6 linked regions of the Nothobranchius furzeri genome follow. The protein of the gene in region 4 interacts with the protein of the main gene of each other region in a biochemical or structural test. Links are inferred from orthologs where the notes say so. Each region holds a gene or a part of one and is shown on either strand. Other genes may lie near its edges.

Region 1 (4,181 bases), on a different chromosome or scaffold from region 4:
CCTAATAATCCTTTAGGTGAGTGTATGTTCTTTAAGAACGGTTAGGATCACCACACCAAATCTGCCTTAATATCACTTTATTTATACTTTTAGAATTTATTTTACACACCAAAGTAATTTGGGCCATTTTAATCATACTAATTTACAATTTTAACTAATAAAATAGTAATGGGGTAAAAGGGTTGATAGTTTCCAAAGCAAGCCGGGGCCTTCTGTAAATGATAGAACATTTTTTTAGGCTGCTTGTCTAGCATGTATACATCAGAGTACATTATTTGTCTACTTTATTAGAATTGTGTAAAACAGTCTAAACCTGAAAACTGCACCGGTGCAGGACTGACTCAGCTGTTGTTTTCATTCAGGAGTGTGCACGTACAGCATGCACGCCTCTTGCACTAGCTTATTATTGAAGCTGCAGTTACGCATTGGGCCTGAGGGGGCAATCGTGTGCATCAAAATTTCAAATTCCTTATAGTCCCTTTAAATAAAAAGGAAGCTGAGGAATGTCTCAGTGACAACAACTATATAACAACCCCACTTCATACTAGACACGGTTAAATCAGATTTAATGATGTGGTGAGAGAAAGTCTCTGGCAAACAAAAGTAAAAGCTTTAAGGTGAATGTGCTGTAACGAGCTATTTCTGAGGTGAATAATGACAGAAGCAGCTGTAATAAAGTGCTGTAGGAGGGATGGTTCTCAGTGAAAGGGAAGGAAGCTTTGATTCAATCTGTAGTCCCAAGAAGATGGAACACATCAGTCCTGTGTATGGAGCAAACATAAGGACCTGTGAGTGTGTTTGTGTGTGGTTTCTCATCATTGACCCACAGCTGAGAATTACAGGCAAAGCTTTCATGTGTTCATGTCTCCCCAAGCTCTCTAACTGACCACATGTCCGCGCACTAAGACAAGTAAACAGGCAATTACCGTAACTGATTCAAACACAAAATGAATTCAAGCAAAATGTCAGAAAAACTTTGTTTTTTGTGCAACATTGTGGTGATGAGGGTCTCAGAATGTAAGAAGAGAAGTCACATTCATGTGGAACAGGACACATACCTTCCAATAAGTTCTACTTTTGTCTCTTCAGTCCCCAGAACACTTTTCTAGAAGAATTTGATCCCAAAATGTTTTTTGGAGATGGCTGTGTTGTTTCTGGGTGAACAGAGGTTTTGGACTTGGAAGTGGGCCAGTTCTCATTAGCTGAGTTAGGTCCTTTAGTTCTTGAGTGTGTTGATGTGTTGCTTTTTGAGATCTTTTTGCCTATTTCATGCTGTCAGGAAGGTTCTGTTAGAGTGATTGTTAGTTCTACTGGTCTGATATTAGTCAAGTGGAGGGACTGACCTCAGCTGAACTAATATTATAGTAAATCAGTAGCCTGGGCTGTCATCCTATAGTCTGGCCACGACCCATAGACAGAGCTCAGTCATGGGGCAGGATCTACGGTTGTCTTTCAAACGTTGTCTGCACCCAATTGGACAGCATAAGGACCAATCAGACCAACGGACATCATGATGCGTCCAAGACAACATAAATTTGTCAAAGGGCAGTCCATCACACAGAGTCGTTGAAGAAGAAATAGATACATCCATTTTCTAAATAAAAGACTTAACTACCTCTATCTGCTCACGTCTCAAAGAAAGGCCCAAGTCTAAATCGTTTAAAAATGATGCCAAAGCCGTTTCAAACAGGCATCTTTGTAGTTTTATCCATCGCAGCTCTGGTGCCCAACATCGATCTACAACCAGAGCGCTGACTGACCAGATCTAAAATTGTTCAGGCCAATGGTAGACCTGCAGACCCATACGGAGCGTGGCCAACAATCAAGTGTAACTATTGCTTTTATACGAAACTACTATTTAGTTGTTGATTAAATACTTCAGGATTGGAATGCGTGCTGATTGGAGCAGACGTTTACAACCCTGAAAATCTTTTTACTAACACTGTGTAAGAAAAGAACAAGAAATGGTTAACAACTCTGACAAGTTTGTTTCAAAAGGTGAATTTTTTTTTACTTTTTCTTTTTTTTTGTCAAAATATGAATAAAACTATAAAATAAGAATGGTGTCATGGTTCGTGCCTGGAAATCACAAAAGGACATTTTAGTGCGTTTTCTGAAACTGTCATTAACCAGTAATATCTTACCAGAAGTTGATGATGTAATAAAAACACCCAGTTTGGAGAAGCAGAGATGAGTTCTGACCAGAGATGCTCCTGCCACCTTCAGATCTCAAGCAAGTGTTGCTTAAGAATACATCAGCACAAACGCAGCTTCACGTGCTTTTTTTGCTTTCTGTAATTTGCAGCAGGAATTGGTTAAGACAACTTCAGTTTTATTCTGGCTGAAATCTCATCACATTTCTACTGGAATCACCATGAAACGTGACAATTTTGCACATGGGAAGGTATAATTGCATTTGTAACTGCTGTGGAAGTCTTGAGGTAGCTATTAGCTGTTGCAGTTTGGGTCAAAACTGATCTCTTTCTCTCCAAACAAGAACAAAGATGTTAATTGTTTCTTATCGGAGGCTTTCTGTTTGAACAATCCAGATTAATCACCACAAATCAAATCCCTGTTTTATGATGACCATAAGACCCTAAAACAACCTGCGCACTGGAGCGCGCCAGTCCAACCGCATTTACGCACCGGCAGCAGAACTTGTTTTGGAAAGCTTCAGCACGTGTCCAGGTGTTAGTCAGAAACGGTCTAACAGCCTTACCAAAAGACAAACTTGGAGAGGAAGTTTGCATCTTCCACCGGTGACTTTTGCATCCTAAAAGCGCCGCCAGTTTTGATCCGTGTGCAGCCGAGGGTCCCTGCGCCGCTCTCATCGGTGTGTCCTCCTGGCGCTCCGGGGAGGGTTCGGCCTTTATCCTCCTCTCCACCCCAGAGGATGGTGTTGGTGTGTGTGTGGGTGGGTGGGGGGTGGCGGCTCCAGGTCCGCTCCTGTTGCGCTGCCTCTTCACTCCGTGTGAGAGGGTTGTCCGCGCTTCTTTATTGGCCAAGTCGCCAAAGCTGCTCCTCTCCTGTGAGTCTAGCAGAAACGATTCTGGGACATCCAACCTGAAACTTTTTATCAGCTTCTCGTTACGCACAGTTTCAGGAGAGGGAAGATCAAAACACCTCTAGACATTCCTGCAGGGAACACTGATAAAATGCAGCAAATTGGCTTTTTTAGTGGACATCACACAGTCATTCATCAGGTGAACTCTACCGGAGTTCTGGGAGGACATAAACACATGGATACACACACTCAGTGCTATCACAAACACACAGAAAGCTGACGTGTGTAAGTCAGAAACAAGGACTTTTAACAAAAGCAACTAAAGCTGTGACTTTCAGAAAGGTGAAAACGTGTCTTAAGCAGCGTAATAAAAACCTGCATGTTAAAGTAAGTCATGAACTTAAGTTTGCTTTAAAGAAGGAGATCACACATAGCATCAGGTGTTTTAACATCCTCAAACACGAACGAGGCTGAGGAAAGAGAAAAGGGCGCCCTCTCCTGGACACAGACTGTACCAGCCACCTGCTCATCTTCTGATCCCTTTTGATTACTGAAATGAAGACCTCTGCAGGTGAACCCAAACTATTTAAATATTATGTACTTTACACGTAAATACATAGAAAATTACCAGAACATTCACTGGAAATAAGATTACAAAATCCATGGAGCGGTGACACCAGGATTCTCAAAAGCAGAACAAACACACCGGGTTTTCAATTTGAACTGGATGCACGTGTCAACATTAAATTTGGGCAATTCAAGAAAAGAAAGCAGATATTAGGAGTTTTTTTTATTGTTTCACTTGAAGCTAAATTAAATTTGGGCGTGGTCTCTCACTTTGCTCCCATGCGTTAAGCCCATAGGTTAAGCCCCGCTCTGTCCATCTTACTTCCGGGTGTTCTGAGAAAACGTCCGACTTTGGCAAAATGTCCTATCCGTAGGATAATTTTACGGTGTTTTACATGACACAAACCCTAACCATAACCCTAATTCTTACCCAAAAAAATCAAGTATCAACATCAATAAAAAGTACTAATACTTACTAATCTATTTTCTTGCAAATATGACAGCGGAGTAGCGTTCCCTTTTTGTGTTGTGCGCATGCGCGCACATGCTCATCAACTACAGTAGGATGGTTTACGGGGTAGGAGAAATTCCCAGAACATCTACCTAACAC
Region 2 (3,647 bases), on a different chromosome or scaffold from region 4:
ACAGGTTGCCGACCCCTGGTATAAGATCTGAGCTGGTAAAACAAAAATCCTCATCAGCAGGCTTTTTTGAAAGTGGGGGGGACACAGCTGCCAATCACAAATTTTGCCGGGGACATGTCCCTGGTTAAAATGACGCCTATGACACACACACACACACACACATCATTTTTTACTTCATTTTTTTAGGGGCAGTACCGTGATTATATCTCCAGCTTTGATGTTCAGACTGGTAAGGTCATAGTTGTTGCAGTAATCCTTCAGTGCTCGCACCTGCATTGCAGCCGAAGCATCTACAAAACAAGAATGCAGACACAAGATAAGACTTTCTAATATAAACTGATTCTCATTAAGAATTTTTTTGTTGCTGTTTGTTTTTATTCTGTTTCTACAAGAACTAGAAGAGTTGTGTGAGTGCATTGTTGTGCTTCACCTCTGAGCAGCTGTTTGATCTCTCTACTGGCCTGCGTGGTGGTGAACTGGTTAACGATATCCAGAGCGGTTTGACTCAGAGTGTTCCTCACTCCTGCACTGATGCCACTCTAGAATGAAGCAGAGCAGAAAACTGATCAACGCTGCCGCCTCTGTAAAAACATTTCATGTGAGGCAGGATAAAAATAAGCTTTGAGTTTTAGCTTCTTTAGACTTTAAGAGGTGGTCATCACTTACATCCAGCAGCAGGCGCACTACCTCTGTCTTCCCACAGAGGGCAGCCTGATGTAGAGCTGTGCCACACTCAGACTGTCTGTTGATATCTATACCAGCCTGAATCAACAACCTGCAACATATAAACCATATCTTTGATAGAACGTGTTCATGATTTAATTCTACCAATGTAAGACAAAAAAACAAACAAACTAAAAACAAATACGTGTTCCCTAAAGTGGGCAATCAAATCCAGCAAATATGGTTTTAATTTTCTATTTCTACCATTATTATTGTATTTTAAACATTTCGATATTAAATTTTCTTAATTAAGCAGGCTGCAGTTTGTGCTTTTGTGCCAGACATCCAGCGCAGCCGCCTGAGCAGAAAACAAAGTAAGCAAACTTGTGCTGCAGTTAAATGTGACACGAAGATGACATTTAACCCCATTTAAAGAACCCCCCTGGTGGAAAATCAAGTTTAGTCTACTTGATGGCCGTTTCTTTAGTGTTCGCTGTATATGTGAGAGGACGAGCATGACAGAACAAGCAGTCGTGGAGTCGAGGGAGTTTTTAAGGGTTTAATGAACCCCAGCAGAGGAAGTCTATGCCACCAACATTGTACAATGTTATAAAGGAGCAGCAGATTCAGCAGTAGTAGTTTGCTACAGGGCTGAAGCTAATGTGAACTGGTTTTATTAGTCGGTGTTGTGTAGCAAATGCTGGTCAACATAGTGTGTGTGGCTTTGATTCAGTGCTGTTTAGCTACCTTTACTAAAATTAAGTCTCCATCTATTTGAAAAGGATCCTGAAGAAGGACTGTTGAAAATAAGTAAACGTAGAAAAGTTATCTAAAAGAATAATGTTGCAGGAAAGCTTCATGGGAACTGCTCAGGTTTGTCTAAAGACACACACACACACACACACACACACACACACACACACACACACACACACACACACACACACACACACACACACACACACAAACACACACACACACACACACACACACACTGAATGAGGAGGTGTGAAAGCAGACTGAGGGAGGCAGAACAAGAGCAGAGCTGCTTCAGACCTTATGACTTCTATGTGTCCATTCTTAGCCGCAAGATGCAGAGGTGACACCCCGTTTGGGTCAGAAGGTCTTGGCTCCAGCATGGCTGCACACATGTTGCTGCTGAGCAGAAGCTGGACCACCTACACACACACACACACACACACACACACACACACACACACACACACACACACACACACACACACACACACACACACACACACACACACACACTAAAATCACTAATCGATCCGAACCAACACACACACAGGTAGAAACAGCCTTTACTGAAAGATTCCTCCCTCGCTTCTCACACTCCAGTCACACATCTGAAAGTTCTGGAAGTGCAATTTTTAAAAGGTTTTGTTTTTATGGGAAAAACATAATTTACATCTACTGGCCACTTTTTTAGTTACACCTAATAGCTCACCAGCCAATCAGATGGTAGCAACTCATCTGGTCCGGCACTTTGCTGAATATGTGAATATAATAAAGAATTAAGTTCTGAGGTGTACCTAATAAAGTGACCAGAGCATACATCAGTGTTCTGTTGTGCGTAGGTACTCACGCCAACACGTCCAAATTCACAAGCAAGGTCCAGCGGAGTCTTTCCAGCTGAATCTGAGATACACGGGTTGGACTGATGTTGTAGTAGCATCTCAGACTGTAGCATATTCACACACACACACACACGCACACACACACACACACACACGCACGCACACACACACAACTCACTGGTTACATCTGATTGTCTTAACAAGTGTTTCATGTTTGCATCATCAGGTCTGCATAGCAGACACACACACACACACACACACACACGCACGCGCACACGCACACACACACACACACATGCACGCACGCACACACACACACACACACACACACACACACACACACACACAACTCACTGGTTACATCTGATTGTCCTAACAAGTATTTCATGTTTGCATCATCAGGTCTGCATAGCAGACAGACACACACACACACACACACATGCGCACACACACGCACGCGCGCGCGCGCACACACACACACACGCACGCACGCACGCACACACACACACACACACACACACACACACACACACACACACACAGTTACCCCATCGTAGTGTCCATGCTGAGCCGACAGGTGCAGAGGAATCTGTCCTTCTTCTGACTGTCCGTTGACTGACGAGCCTGCTTTCAGCAGCATTTTCATTGGTTCAGTCTTCCCCTGCCATGCAGCATAATGCAGAGGGCGCATTCCTACACAAAACACACATACACACACCGACACACATGGACAAACACGTACACAGAGGCAGAGATGACAGCACAATATAACATGGACATACACGACCCAACAAGCACATGCAAACAGACACAAAAACAAACAAATGGAGATGCAATGCACTTTATTTTAAAAGTCAGTCACTTTTCAATAAGGCATTTTTTCCTTCATTGAATTACAAAACCTAAGTGCTGGGAATTGATCTCATTACTTATGTCAGCAAAAATTCCTTGTTGATGCCAGAGATCAGAGGAGAATGGCCTGACTGGTTTGAGTTGAAAGGCAACAGTAACTCAAATAACCACTCGGTAAAACCAAGGTATGCAGAAGAGCATCACTGAATGCACAACACGTCAAACCTTGAGGCAGATGGGCTACAGCTGCAGAAAACCACACCGAGTGCCACTCCTGTCAGCTAAGAACAGGAAACTGAGGCTACAATTCACAAAAATTGGACAACAGAAGATTGGAGAAATGTTGCCTGGTCTGATGAGTCTCGATTTCTGCTGCCACATTCGGATGGTAGGGTCAGAATTTGCTGTCAACAGAATTAAAGCATGGCTCCATCCTGCCTTGTCTCAACAGTTCAGGCTGCTGCTGGTGGTGTAATGGTGTGGGGGACATTTTCTTAGCACACTTAGCCTTTTAGTAATGACTGATCATCATTG
Region 3 (3,647 bases), on a different chromosome or scaffold from region 4:
AGACATTAGCCCCGCCCCTGAGCAGGGACACGTCCACAGTTAGGCACTTGGAAGGTTTCAGACGAGTGAGAATAAACTTTTATAGAACTTTACACACAAAATTTAAAAGACTCGAGGTGGAGGAACAACAGTGTGGCCACGGGGGGGGGGGGGGGGGGGGGGGTATCCTGGCAGGAATCTACTTCCTGTTAGTGAACAGCAGGGGAAGGCAGAACATGGGCCCAACTGGTTCTGGTTCTGGTCAAAGTGCTCTGTGTGTGTGTGCGTGTGCGTGTGCGTGTGTGTGTGTGTGTGTGTGTGTGTGTGTGTGTGTGGGTGTGTGGGTGTGGTTTTCCATCTCACACGGATGAAGCGGGAAAGACTCGCGTCTGATTTACAGTCCGAGGAAATGGAATAAGCCAAGTGAGAGCAGGAGGGTTTCCGTGAGACATTATCAGTGTTACCATGGAGACCGGCGCGTCCTCCCGCATCGTTGTGACACATTAACTTGTGCTAGGACCGGGAACTTTCAGTCTGAGGAATTCTAATCAAACGCTCCGGTTTAGTTGTCGGGAGAGCAGCTGCTAGACTCGAGGTTCGGTGTCGGACGGCAGCGACTCCATCAACACAACTCTGCTCACAAAGACAAAAGGTTGGAATTACAGCAATCTAGAACATTCCCTCTGAGCCGCGTCAGTCAAGTCAACACGTCATTCCGTGTGTCAGACCCAGAGTCCGACCGGCGCTCCATCCGGTTCCAGACGCTACGCATAAAACTCCTTGGTTGGAGCTTTCTGATAGGCTGCTCCGGAGGGTTTCCGCTCTCCCAGGTCGTAGCTGCCTTCGTCCTTCTTCCTCATTCGGTAGACCAGCAGGAGGATGAGGAAGATGGCGAACAGGAAGCCGATCACGCCGCCTGCAATAACAGCTGAGAGACAGAGACAGACAGTCACGGACGGTCCAACAAACACGTCACGTCCCCGTCCCACATCTCCACCCCCAGCTGGGACATGAGGAGGACTCTGTTGATCTGACAGGTGAAGGTGGCGACAGGTAAACTATGACATCAGACACGCCTACGCCCCACGTGGCCTCCATAAGCTTCTGTGCAGCTCCTTAATCTGTCCTCCGTACCGTAGTCTCCGACTGGCTACGGGCGGCCTCCCTTCCACAAGCCCCAGCTGTGCAGCTCCATCAGTAACGCAACGCTCCCAGAATGCGTGACAGCGATTCTCCTCATCCCTGTGAGTCGGACACGGATCAGGAGAACGAGCCTAATCCCAAACGTTCACCACACCAGAACCTCAAATGTCCCAGTCAGGGTTCTGGTCTACTCCAGCAGAAATACTTGTATAGCGCCACTCTACAACACTACAGCGTATCATTCATCCATTCACACACTGATGGTGATGAGCTACGATGTAGCCACAGCTGCCCTGGGGCGCACGGACAGAGAAAGAACCTCTGTCACGTTCCCATAGTAACGGTACACGTCAGGAATACCCTCAGCAACCCACAAAACCCAAAGTAGGATCCGGCTAACACCTGAACCCTCTGAGAGGAGAGAAGGATCCGGCTAACACCTGAACCCTCTGAGAGGAGAGGAGGGTCCGGCTAACACCTGAACCGTCAGAGAGGAGAGAAGGATCCGGCTAACACCTGAACCCTCTGAGAGGAGAGAAGGATCCGGCTAACACCTGAACCGTCAGAGAGGAGAGAAGGATATGGCTAACACCTGAACCCTCTGAGAGGAGAGAAGGATCCGGCTAACACCTGAACCCTCTGAGAGGAGAGAAGGATCCGGCTAACACCTGAACCGTCAGAGAGGAGAGAAGGATATGGCTAACACCTGAACCCTCTGAGAGGAGAGAAGGATCCGGCTAACACCTGAACCGTCAGAGAGGAGAGAAGGATACGGCTAACACCTGAACCCTCTGAGAGGAGAGGAGGGTCCGGCTAACACCTGAACCGTCAGAGAGGAGAGAAGGATCCGGCTAACACCTGAACCCTCTGAGAGGAGAGAAGGATCCGGCTAACACCTGAACCCTCTGAGAGGAGAGAAGGATCCGGCTAACACCTGAACCCTCTGAAAGGAGAGGAGGATCTGGCTAACACCTGAACCGTCAGAGAGGAGAGAAGGATACGGCTAACACCTGAACCCTCAGAGAGGAGAGGAGGATCTGGCTAACACCTGAACCCTCTGAAAGGAGAGAAGGATCCGGCTAACACCTGAACCGTCAGAGAGGAGAGGAGGATCCGGCTAACACCTGAACCCTCTGAGAGGAGAGGAGGATACGGCTAACACCTGAACCCTCTGAGAGGAGAGGAGGATACGGCTAACACCTGAACCGTCAGAGAGGAGAGAAGGATCCGGCTAACACCTGAACCCTCAGAGAGGAGAGGAGGATCTGGCTAACACCTGAACCCTCTGAGAGGAGAGGAGGATACGGCTAACACCTGAACCCTCAGAGAGGAGAGGAGGATCCGGCTAACACCTGAACCCTCTGAGAGGAGAGGAGGATCCGGCTAACACCTGAACCCTCAGAGAGGAGAGGAGGATCTGGCTAACACCTGAACCCTCAGAGAGGAGAGGAGGATCTGGCTAACACCTGAACCCTCTGAGAGGAGAGGAGGGTCCGGCTAACACCTGAACCCTCTGAGAGGAGAGAAGGATCCGGCTAACACCTGAACCGTCAGAGAGGAGAGAAGGATATGGCTAACACCTGAACCCTCTGAGAGGAGAGAAGGATCCGGCTAACACCTGAACCGTCAGAGAGGAGAGAAGGATACGGCTAACACCTGAACCCTCTGAGAGGAGAGGAGGGTCCGGCTAACACCTGAACCGTCAGAGAGGAGAGAAGGATCCGGCTAACACCTGAACCCTCTGAGAGGAGAGAAGGATCCGGCTAACACCTGAACCCTCTGAGAGGAGAGAAGGATCCGGCTAACACCTGAACCCTCTGAAAGGAGAGGAGGATCTGGCTAACACCTGAACCGTCAGAGAGGAGAGAAGGATCCGGCTAACACCTGAACCCTCAGAGAGGAGAGGAGGATCTGGCTAACACCTGAACCCTCTGAGAGGAGAGGAGGATCCGGCTAACACCTGAACCGTCAGAGAGGAGAGGAGGATCCGGCTAACACCTGAACCCTCTGAGAGGAGAGGAGGATCCGGCTAACACCTGAACCCTCTGAGAGGAGAGAAGGATCCGGCTAACACCTGAACCCTCTGAGAGGAGAGAAGGATCCGGCTAACACCTGAACCGTCAGAGAGGAGAGAAGGATCCGGCTAACACCTGAACCCTCTGAGAGGAGAGGAGGATCCGGCTAACACCTGAACCCTCTGAGAGGAGAGGAGGATCCGGCTAACACCTGAACCCTCTGAGAGGAGAGGAGGATCCGGCTAACACCTGAACCCTCTGAGAGGAGAGAAGGATCCGGCTAACACCTGAACCCTCTGAGAGGAGAGGAGGATCCGGCTAACACCTGAACCCTCTGAGAGGAGAGGAGGATCCGGCTAACACCTGAACCCTCTGAGAGGAGAGGAGGATCCGGCTAACACCTGAACCCTCTGAGAGGAGAGGAGGATCCGGCTAACACCTGAACCCTCTGAGAGGAGAGAAGGATCCGGCTAACACCTGAACCGTCAGAGAGGAGAGAAGGATCCGGCT
Region 4 (3,647 bases):
GTCCAAGGACCGACCCTTGTGGCACACCATAATTAATCTCCCGCAACTTCTGTATGAGGGCCATAGTTTAGTACAAGAAAAAGGCCCCAAAACAAACGCCAAATTCTAGTTTAGCTTCCTTTGTAGGAGACAGTAACTTTCCCAGGAATACTGCCCTGCAGGCCATGTTCTAAAATCTGTTCATTATACGTGCTCTCATTTTTTCAGACCAACAATGAAACATTTCACTCAGCTGACTTTAAACAAAGCGTTGCTTTAGTGTTAGATGTTTGCATGTTTAAATATGTTTGTCTTTGGACATCCAGGCTCTACTGCAGACCCACGATGTTGTGGCCCACGAGGTGTACAGCGACGAGGCGCTGAGGGTGACCCCTCCACCGACTTCACCGTACCTGAACGGAGACTCTCCAGACAGCACCAACGGAGACATGGACCTGGAGAACGTGACCAGGGTTCGGCTGGTCCAGTTTCAGAAGAACACCGACGAGCCAATGGTGTGTGAGCATTGTTGCTAGGCAGTTTTTTTTTAAAACTTTGGTCAAAAAGGATTTCACAAACTGTCTTTAAAGAGCAAGTCAACCCCTACCAGAGTCTGACTCCACTCTCACTTCATGTAAAAAAAAAAGCAACAAATGCTGTTACCTGGCAGACCGAGAAGGCGGAGCTGCTAAAGGTTGGTTTATGCTTGACACGTCCGCGAGGTCCGCACGGCTCCGCGAGGAAAAGTTGCGTCATCTTAACAACCACGCCTTCGCACGGCCCAAAATTTCCGCAACGCGCACCTAGGAAATATTCTAACCACGCGGACGGTCGGACGAGGAAAAACATGGCGGACCGGCAAGAACTAGTATGGCAGATATTTGTATGATTCAGCTCTCAAAGATCACCGTGATCAACATGTTGTTAATAATTCTTGGAGAGAAATAGCTCGCACTGTCGGAAAAGATGAGGACGCTGTTAAAAAATGCTGGAATGCCATGTTGTAAACAGTAATTTTTACTTCTACTATGGTGTAGTGTTGGATGCATGCCGTAGAGCTCCATGCTGCCCCCTACAGTTTGGGAGAATATTGGCTCACCGCAGAGACGAGCCGCATGAACCATAAACGCTGCAAGTTGTGAAGCGCGTTCCATCCGCGAGCCGCATCACCAAGCGGAAAGTAAATGTGTCAAGCATAAACCAAGCTTAACAAATACACACACACACACAGGCTCATGACAGCATTGTGACATCATAATGTACCAGTTTACGTCATAGCATACCTCTTAGCTAATAGCGGTGGCAGATTTAAATTAAAACACAGTGCAGAGTTTTTACCTGACAATGGCACAACACTGCCAGTTTTAGGCAGAATATTTAAATTTTAACTAAGATGCACTGAAGTGCCAAATTATTGACGACACGTGTCTGCAGCACGATTAGTCACTTGTTTATTTAGTTTAACAGCCAAAAAAAGTTTATTTGGGGGTGACTTGCTCTTTAAAGCAAGGTCAGTGATGCATTTGAATGTCAATTTTATAAAAGTACATAAAACAGTAAAAAAAAACCTACTTAGTACTTTAGAGTAGTATCACTTATAAGCTTTAAAGCTTGTGTAGCTTGGTCCAAAATATTTACACAATATAAACCGAAGTGTTTGCGTGTAGAAATGGCCCTTTTCCACGTGCGCCTACTCAGCGCGGCTAGACTCAACTACGTGGTTTGGGTGGTTTTCCATTACGGATGAGAAATGGCTGGGTTTGTAATAGCAGGCCATCGATCACATGACACAAAAACACAACAGTGGCAGACATGTTGTGGTGGTGAACATTTGGTTTAGTTGGTGATTTTTGTTAGCCCCCCCCCCCCCCCCCGAAAAACTACAGGAAGCAAGACGAAACACTCTGGGGCAACTGGCAACTCCACCCGTTAGCCAATCAGTGGCCAGCAGTCTGACGCTGCGTTTTTGGCCTTGCTTTGTGCGCTTGGAACCTCATCAAAGCTGGTACTAAAAAAGAGACGGTGACCTGGTACCTGTTATTAGTGGAAAAGGGTCAAAAGTGAGCTGTGCCCAGCTTTGCAGTACCAGATGAATACTGTAAACTGTTGCTACATTCAGTTCAATTCAAAAATAATATGTTAATCCCAGAGGGAAATTGATTGCTGTAGTAGCTCAGAATAATAATAATAATCAAGTCATTAAAGAGTTATTGTATATTACAATAGCTGTTGGCAGGAAGGATCTCCAGTAGCGGTCAGTGTTGCAGCCAAACTGAAGAAGCCTCTGACTGAAGACACTCTTCCGTTGTCGGACAGTCTTGTGAAGAGAATGCTCAGGGTTGTCCATCATTTTCTTGATTCTCTGGAGAATCCTTCTTTGCATGATCTCCTCCAGCGGTTCCACAGTCGTCCCCAGAACAGAACCAGCCTTTTTATCAGGCTGTTGAGCCTTTTCAGGTCCCTGCTTCTGATGCTGCTACCCCAACAGACGATGGCTGGAGAGATTACACTCTCAACAACAGACTTGTAGAAGATCTGCAGCATCTTGCTACAGACATTGAAGGACCTAAGCGTCCTCAAGAAGTGCAGTCTGCTGTGTCCCTTCTTGTAAACGGCTGCAGTTCTTGTAAACATTACAGCAGTGTTAGCTGATGCTTTGATCTAAAGACTGTTTTATTATGATACCTTGTAATTGATTACATCTGTCCCACTCTCTGTTCTAGGGCATTACTCTAAAAATGAATGACCTCAACCACTGTATTGTGGCTCGCATCATGCATGGTGGAATGATTCATCGACAAGGTATAAAGTATAACTGTACAAATCTCACTAGCAGCAGAATTCTTTTTGAATGTGCTTTTATTTTGAAAGAGCTTACATTTAACTATTATTTTTCTTGGCCCCTGCTCTCTGAAGCGTTGATGCATTAGCACTTTAATTACTTCACTGTTTCCCCGCCTCAGGGACTCTGCATGTTGGAGATGAGATCCGAGAGATCAACGGCATCAGTGTAGCGAATCAGACGGTAGAACAGCTCCAGAGGATGCTGGTTTGTCACACTAGTCTGACTTTTTTTACGCAGTCTGATAGAAAACAGACGGAATAAGTGTTGCCACCATTGTCTCCACAGAGGGAGATGAGGGGGAGCATCACTTTTAAGATCGTGCCCAGTTACCGGTCCCAATCCATGTCCTGTGAGGTAAAAAAAACCTCCACATGAACTCACACACATACTCATTTGTTCCTGTTGCATTTAGAGTGAAATATACTTTTATTTTGAAAACCTGCTGCAGAAAGAGTCTCCGGATCTGTCTCGCCAGTCGCCTGCAAATGGTCACGCTAGTGTGACCAGCTCCATCCTGGTATGTGCGTGTATTCACATCCACCTTTTACACACGGTGTTTTTACATGCTGCCATAAACTCGTGTCCTCCACCAGGACCTGCCGGCGACGATCCAACCCAAGGGCCGTCAGGTGAGATCTAGTCATTCGTGACGTCCGCGTTCCCGTTCCTTCACTTTCGTCCTCTGATTCGTCACGTTTCTCCTCCCAAAAACTGATGGATTCCTTCCCAATGATCAAAACAATCCTTCACACAGACAGAAGTGTAAAGTGTAGCGTCCCCCGTCACACGTCCTTTGTTAATGCGCCCCAACATTTTCTACTGC
Region 5 (2,926 bases), on a different chromosome or scaffold from region 4:
TGACTCGTGAGGACACTGGAGTGTACACCTGTGAGGCGTCCAGCTCCACTAGTGGATTACAGAAAGCCACTGTAAAGCTGACGGTATTGGGTGAGTATGTGGACACCACTTGCACTGATGTTCAGACTGATCTTACACATAATGGGTCCACATAATAACCCCTCCATCGTGTTTCACAGTGCCACCATCTGTACCCATATGTGGAGTCCCCGATTCGGTGACGACGGGTAAATCTGCCACCCTGACCTGTTTTGACCCCGCTGCTTCACCCCCTCCCACATACAGGTGGTACAAAGATGGGACCCTCCTGCCCAGTGACCCCAGCAAGTTTGCTGGTTTCCAAAATGCCACCTACAAACTGGACCCAGCAACTGGGAAACTGGTCAGCTTTGCATCGTAATATTGTCTAAAACCTTTACAGCTTAAGTTTTAGAAAAACTTTTAAGAAACTTGATCAATACACCAAAACTGTGTCACGTTGCTGCAGGATTTTCCTTCTGCTGCCAAGATGGATTCAGGTCAGTACTACTGTGAGGTCTCCAACGAAGCTGGCCCAACTCAGAAATGTCAAGCACGGAGAATGGAAGTCCGTAAGTAGCATCATTTGTTTTCTCTTTTACCAGAGTTGGTACAAATGGTTTCTAACTCAGATGACTTAAACGTAAAACATTAATGTGGTAATGTTAAATTTATTGATTTAGAATAGATTTTATTAATCTAATGACTCCCGTTGTGATTTCTTCAAGGTGACTTGAACACTGGAGGAATTGTTGCAGGGGTAATAATTTTTCTGCTGCTTCTGGGCCTCGTGATATTTGGTGTTTGGTATGCCAAGAAGAAAGGCTATCTGCCCAGTAAGTTTTCTGCATTGCATCACAAACATTCATGAGTATACATAGTCGAAATTTGACTGAAAGTTGTATGTTTAATGTTAGGCACCATTAATTTTAACGTGCTCCTGTTTCTTTTCTTTCCATAGCAGCAAAGACTGAAGGGTAAGACGTTTTTATATCGAGGATATTTGATATGTAAACTTTTTAAAATACTGATTTACAGATTTATTTACTAATAATATCAATGTTTGATTGTACACATTCTTGGGTCATTAGGAGTGGTATGTGTATATATATCTATATATATACACACACACACACACACACACACACACACACACACACACACACACACACACACACACACACACACACACACACACACACACACACACACACACACACTTATTATTTATTTGTTTGTCCCCACAGTAAACACAGGATGGATGCAGTCTACCAGCCCACATCACATGGTGGGGATGATGATAACGTGAGTATTTTAATGTATTTTTAATATTTTAATTGGAGTGTATGTTTGAAAAGGTCAAAGATGTCTGAGACTTGTTTTGTTTCACAGGGGGAATTCAAACAGAAGTCGTCATTTGTGGTGTAATCAACAGTCCGCTTACAGACTTGAACTTCCCTGTTTATTGTGATTTTTATAGTTTTTTTGAGTGCTGTTTCTATACATATGAGTGATGTGCTTTCAGAGTGACAATTGATTCAGATAATCTGCAGATTAAATACTTTTAATAAGAAATAAGGGAGTCTGTTTTTTTACATTTGTCGTGTTGGGCTGAAGCAGCTGCCCAGTGCGTTTCTACTTATGGAGTTATTATTATTTTGTTTAATCTAAATTCTGTATATCCAAGGTAATTGTTTACTATGAAGAAGAGAGAACAAAACCTCCTAGGACTATATAACAAATGCTGCTAATTAAAATACCTTCTCGAGTAGTTGTGCACCAACCAAGAAATACATTATCTGCAGTTATAACCTTACTTTAATATTTATAACTGCAGTTTAGCTTAAATGTTAAACTGATGTGGCTCAGCTCTGTTGGGGTGTTCGTTTTTCTCTGATGCATTGTACAAATTAGTTCTATTGAAGGGTTATTTTTGTAAATAAAGCTGCGTTCACTTAGAAAATTATTAGACTTGGTTGTCTCAGCGCTTTTGATGTTGATAAAACATTATATGATATTGTAATGTTTTTATTTTTTTACATTTTGTGCATACAAATTGTGTCACTTTTTTGATTTGCGTAACATCTTGTTGAATGCAATATGAAATCTTTTACTTTTTAAATAGACAATGAAATTCACAAATTTAAAAGCATGAATATTTGTGCAAAAACGTGGGTTGTGTGTTTTTTAGGGATCAGATAGAATAGACATTTATATGAACTCGGTAGTTGTAGTTTCCAAACTCAGAAATGTTTTTATACACATTTTTTTAAAAGTAATTTGGTTGTAATGATTTCAACTGATGTGAAAATACACTAACAATATTTGAAAACTGCTTTTGTCATTTCTTTTGTAAACAGGGTATACTCCATTAATAAAAATAGGTCTTTTGTGTCAATCTCAAAATTCACATAATTGATTTCATCATCTGCATGATTTTGATGTACAGAAGTTCATGTTGTGTCTCCATTAAAATTCAATCTGTAGTTTGTGTGCTGCTTGTCTTACACATATTTACACATTTTTTATAATTGAAATACAAAATGAAAAATAAATTAGCATGGCTAACACCATTATGAATTAACACAAACATATTTCAGTTTGAGTCTTGATTTTAAATACAACCCAATTTAAAGACATTGAAGTTCAAAATAATGATTTATGGTATTTTGTAGGCTATGAGAAAATAAATATGCTAAAAGCTTTCTGTATTGGCTAGTGTTGCGTTGCTGTGGTAACGTGATGGCGTGCAACTTCCCCTCCTGAAAGGTGCGCATGCGTATAGGATCGACATCCTATTACGCAAACAGGAAGTGTGAGCAACATTTTCCACCATTCAACCCTTACACAGGATTTATCCTCAAAATGCCCAAACTAATCCTAATACTTGTTCGCGCACTTACTATAA
Region 6 (3,647 bases), on a different chromosome or scaffold from region 4:
AGTACTATGGGGCTCTTTCAGAAAGAAGTGCTATATAAAACCCATTCCTTCTAAGTGTGTAGTTTACATGGACACATCATGCTACACAGTGTCTGAACCAAGCACCCACATCCTGTGTGACGGTACGTCACCTGTTCATCTCCCAGAATCCTGAAATGATGCAACTCTTTTACCAGAGAGTCCTCACAGCCAGCTGGAAACACAAAGATCATACCGTTACGGTCCCATTCATACCTGTTCACATCGTCACCCGAGTCTCCATTCCCTCACCTGCACATGGAAGAGAATACCCAATCACAGAGTGATACACAAACTGTCGCTCATTCAGGCGAGTCTGACAGTAGCGGCAGAAACAGTCCAGACAGATCACATGGCGCGCTGCACACTGGAAGACCAGGACCACCTCCCTGAGACAACACCAGGGACATGGTGGTGGTTAGAGCCCCACATGCTTCAGACGCACCCTTTCTCAGGCGTTCTGCATTCATTTATAATGACAGGGTGTTTATTCCATGTTAATCCAAATAGGTTTACCATAATATTAAGAAAGGCAAGATCTGATGAAATATAAGTATGGGTTGAGTCTAATATGTGCTCTGTGTGGTGCTACGCTAACGCATTAATGTGTCATGGTCTGCATTCTGCGTCTCCCTCAAGTGTCTCCTTGCATTCTCCATCCCTCTCTAGGTTCCCCTTATGTGTCTCCTTGTGTTCCTCGTGTGTCTCCTTGTCTGCATCCCCCCTCAGGTGCCTCCCTGTGGTCCCCAGCCCCCTCCAGGTTCTCTCCAGGTTTCCCTCATGTTTCCCTTAGTCACTTTTCTTATCATTAGTTTTCTGTTATTGTAGATTGTCTAGTTCGTTTCTCCCTTTAGGCATCATCCTCCCCTGTCTTCCAGTGTTTTTGGTTCTATTACTCCTAGGTCATTAATTTTATTATCTTTAGTTCTCCAGTGTCTTATTTCTACAGTGTTAAGTTATTTAGTTCAGTAGCTTTGTTTAACAGGTTTAAGACCTAGTCCACACGTAGCCGGGGTTTTTTTGAAAACGAATATCCACCCCTCCAAAACGTGCATCCACACCACCTCGTTTAAAAAAACTGTCCACACGTACCCAGATAAATACGTTGTTAGGGACATGCCAGACCTGTAGGTGGCAGTACTTCCCCCGTTCTTAACCTCGTCCTTCGTCTGTGGTCTTCCGCAAGGAGCAGTAATTCCGCTTGCAAAAACAAACAAGCAGAAAGCGCTTGGACAATTGATAAAGCGAGCGCAGCTCTGAGGGCATCCATGCTGTCGGCTAGTGTAAACACAGGTCGCACACGTGATGTCAGCATTTTTTTGTTGCGGAAAGTGACGTTGCGGACCTTAAAACTCCGGTTTTGTCTGTTCACACGCCGACACCCAAAACGGAGAAAACGCAGATCTTCACTTTGGCCGGAGTTTTTAAAAAGATCCGTTTTCGTGTGGATGACAGGCCAAAACGTAGGAAAATATCTACATTTTGGCAGATCCCCGGCTACGTGTGGACAGGGCCTTAGTTGGGGCTTTCCTCACCTGCCCTATTCTGCTCCTCCTCTTGTTTATTAATATCACCTGTACCCAATCCTCCTAATCACCCAGCCCCTGAGTATAAAACCCTGTCCTGTCTTTCTGTGTTTGTCGGTCCATTGTTTGTGTCAGCGTCGTCTTGCCCCCCCCCCCCCCCCCCCCCCCCCGGTCTCTAGGATTTTTGGCAATCTCTTGGTTTTTGGATATCTCCAGGTCTGCTCTTTAAGGGGTCACTTTGTCTCTAGGTCTCTTGGCTTTCATACTAAGATTTTTGGATTTTTGGTTTCGGCTTCTTGCACTATTGGATTCACTTTGGGACAATCACTCCTAATAAAGGTTTTTTTTTTATGTTTATTCCACCTCCTGCCTCGTGTCTCCCTGGTTCTGCATCTTGGCTCCTAACCTCCCCCCTTCTCGCAGCGTGACGTAATGCTGCCAAACACTGGGCACTGGCATGTTGCCCCGATGATAGAAGGTCAAACACATTCATTGCTCCTCTACCTCTAGTTAATCTTCATTTCCATGTGCATTAACGTGAACTTTAACCATGCAGGGACGAGAATCATGCCTGCAGGGTGTGTGTGCCTGAATGTTTCAAACGTGTGTTGGGGTGGGGGGTGGGGGTTATTGTAGGGGAGTAGCAGAAGTAACTACAGTCCTGGTAGCAAAGTGCCAGGAATGGAAAGTTTGTTTGGTGTGTGTGTGTGTGTGTGTGTGTGTGTGTGTGTGTGTGTGTGTGTGTGTGTGTGTGTGTGTGTGTGTGTGTGTGTGTGTTTTACGTTATGTCGGTACAGGCGATGCATGGGACGTTTCTGATATTCATCATAATGAGGTCAAGGGTCACAGACGTGTCATCCTCTGATGTTGGGTGAGACGCACATTTCATGTAGAATTCCTGAACCCAATTTCCCAGTGAGAGTAAGGTTCAGTCAGTTCTCAATTAAACATTGATTAAGCTCCACCCCTTACCGCTGTGTTACCATGACAACCGTCGGCCTGACAGAGGCCATGGATTCTTCCTGGAAGAAGGACATCGTCCCAGCAGGATGGACCCTGAAAAAAAGAGGACAGGAGAGTAACACCACCACCACTGATAACACATCTCTGTACTACACATGTAGTGCTGGTAATACTCATCTGTACTACAAGTGCAGTACTGGTAATCCTCTGGTAAACTGCACATGTAGTATTGGTAATACTAACTATGCTACACATGTAGTACTGGTAATAATCCTCTGTAGAGTTGGAGAAAGTTGGAATACAAAGGTTAAGACAATGTCCACAGCCTGCTACATCAGTGTGCCACAGGTTAACTGTTTGGTCTCCAAACCAGAAAACATTGTTTGTGACCTTGCCACCAAGAGGTCGAAGCCATGACAACCTGTTTCAGTATCTGCAGGCACAAGACGAGACTCTTTTATAACTTTAATAAAGAATCTTACTCAGTCTCATAAAATTATTTACTTCACTTTACGGGTTGATTATATTATATATTATATTCCATTTCATCTACAATGAATGTTTTATCTAAAGTGATTTAATAATGTCTCGACTGCTTTACAGTAATGAATGAATCAGCATGAATGTTTATTCTTGAAATGCTTTATTTCAGATCTTAAATACACCAAATGAGTCTAATTACGAAATCATTATTAAATCATCAAGTAGACTCATTTGGTGTATTTAAGATCTGAAATAAGGCATTTCAAGATCAAACTGTTATTTTTGAATCATTCATTATTGTAAAGGCAAGACAAGGCAAAGCAAGGCAGCTGTATTTGTAGAGCACATTTCAAACACAGGGCAATTAAATGTGCTTTATAATTAGCATGAAATGGCACGACGACATAAACAGGAGAACACAAATTAAAATATACACAGATAAAATTATAATTTAGAGCTAAAAGGAAAAGGCAGAATAAAGGTTGAACAATTACATCCCAGATTACAGTGGAGACGATGCAGCATAAGAAACAATTCATTCAAAGGCTGATGAGTACATTAGGGTTTTAATGACAATAATAGTAATAATGATAATAATACATTTTATTTAAAGCGCCTTTCAGGGAACTCAAGGTCACTGTACGAGAATGATAAAAG

The links.
Region 1: the proteins of peripheral plasma membrane protein CASK (region 4) and cftr interact in a test that uses a peptide from one of them, tested with the Homo sapiens proteins (2 studies listed by IntAct, with this or other methods). The link is inferred for Nothobranchius furzeri from reciprocal best matches to the Homo sapiens genes CASK and CFTR.
Region 2: the proteins of peripheral plasma membrane protein CASK (region 4) and caskin-1 interact in a biophysical measurement, tested with the Homo sapiens proteins (2 studies listed by IntAct, with this or other methods). The link is inferred for Nothobranchius furzeri from reciprocal best matches to the Homo sapiens genes CASK and CASKIN1.
Region 3: the proteins of peripheral plasma membrane protein CASK (region 4) and sdc2 form a complex in vitro, tested with the Homo sapiens proteins (2 studies listed by BioGRID and IntAct, with this or other methods). The link is inferred for Nothobranchius furzeri from reciprocal best matches to the Homo sapiens genes CASK and SDC2.
Region 5: the proteins of peripheral plasma membrane protein CASK (region 4) and f11r.1 form a complex in vitro, tested with the Homo sapiens proteins (2 studies listed by BioGRID and IntAct, with this or other methods). The link is inferred for Nothobranchius furzeri from reciprocal best matches to the Homo sapiens genes CASK and F11R.
Region 6: the proteins of peripheral plasma membrane protein CASK (region 4) and prkn form a complex in vitro, tested with the Homo sapiens proteins (2 studies listed by BioGRID and IntAct, with this or other methods). The link is inferred for Nothobranchius furzeri from reciprocal best matches to the Homo sapiens genes CASK and PRKN.

The regions. Positions count from the first base shown.
Region 1 is NC_091744.1:52,968,807-52,972,987, reverse strand, and holds the start of cftr (cystic fibrosis transmembrane conductance regulator), read right to left. Parts: upstream 2,908-4,181; 5' UTR 2,773-2,907; coding exon 2,720-2,772; intron 1-2,719. UniProt on the Homo sapiens protein: Epithelial ion channel that plays an important role in the regulation of epithelial ion and water transport and fluid homeostasis. Mediates the transport of chloride ions across the cell membrane.
Region 2 is NC_091744.1:16,381,667-16,385,313, forward strand, and holds part of caskin-1, read right to left. Parts: intron 2,955-3,647; coding exon 2,809-2,954; intron 2,366-2,808; coding exon 2,270-2,365; intron 1,842-2,269; coding exon 1,720-1,841; intron 776-1,719; coding exon 667-775; intron 540-666; coding exon 431-539; intron 291-430; coding exon 196-290; intron 1-195.
Region 3 is NC_091759.1:26,347,714-26,351,360, forward strand, and holds the end of sdc2 (syndecan-2), read right to left. Parts: intron 908-3,647; coding exon 744-907; 3' UTR 512-743; downstream 1-511. UniProt on the Homo sapiens protein: Cell surface proteoglycan which regulates dendritic arbor morphogenesis.
Region 4 is NC_091754.1:50,601,617-50,605,263, forward strand, and holds part of peripheral plasma membrane protein CASK, read left to right. Parts: intron 1-305; coding exon 306-494; intron 495-2,702; coding exon 2,703-2,781; intron 2,782-2,942; coding exon 2,943-3,028; intron 3,029-3,109; coding exon 3,110-3,178; intron 3,179-3,272; coding exon 3,273-3,341; intron 3,342-3,417; coding exon 3,418-3,453; intron 3,454-3,647. UniProt on the Homo sapiens protein: Multidomain scaffolding Mg(2+)-independent protein kinase that catalyzes the phosphotransfer from ATP to proteins such as NRXN1, and plays a role in synaptic transmembrane protein anchoring and ion channel trafficking.
Region 5 is NC_091750.1:47,706,764-47,709,689, reverse strand, and holds the end of f11r.1 (F11 receptor, tandem duplicate 1), read left to right. Parts: coding exon 1-90; intron 91-179; coding exon 180-382; intron 383-487; coding exon 488-590; intron 591-746; coding exon 747-854; intron 855-979; coding exon 980-995; intron 996-1,265; coding exon 1,266-1,323; intron 1,324-1,410; coding exon 1,411-1,446; 3' UTR 1,447-2,293; downstream 2,294-2,926. UniProt on the Homo sapiens protein: Seems to play a role in epithelial tight junction formation. Appears early in primordial forms of cell junctions and recruits PARD3.
Region 6 is NC_091752.1:62,532,941-62,536,587, reverse strand, and holds part of prkn (E3 ubiquitin-protein ligase parkin), read right to left. Parts: intron 2,601-3,647; coding exon 2,517-2,600; intron 2,443-2,516; coding exon 2,327-2,442; intron 408-2,326; coding exon 271-407; intron 194-270; coding exon 132-193; intron 1-131. UniProt on the Homo sapiens protein: Functions within a multiprotein E3 ubiquitin ligase complex, catalyzing the covalent attachment of ubiquitin moieties onto substrate proteins. Substrates include SYT11 and VDAC1.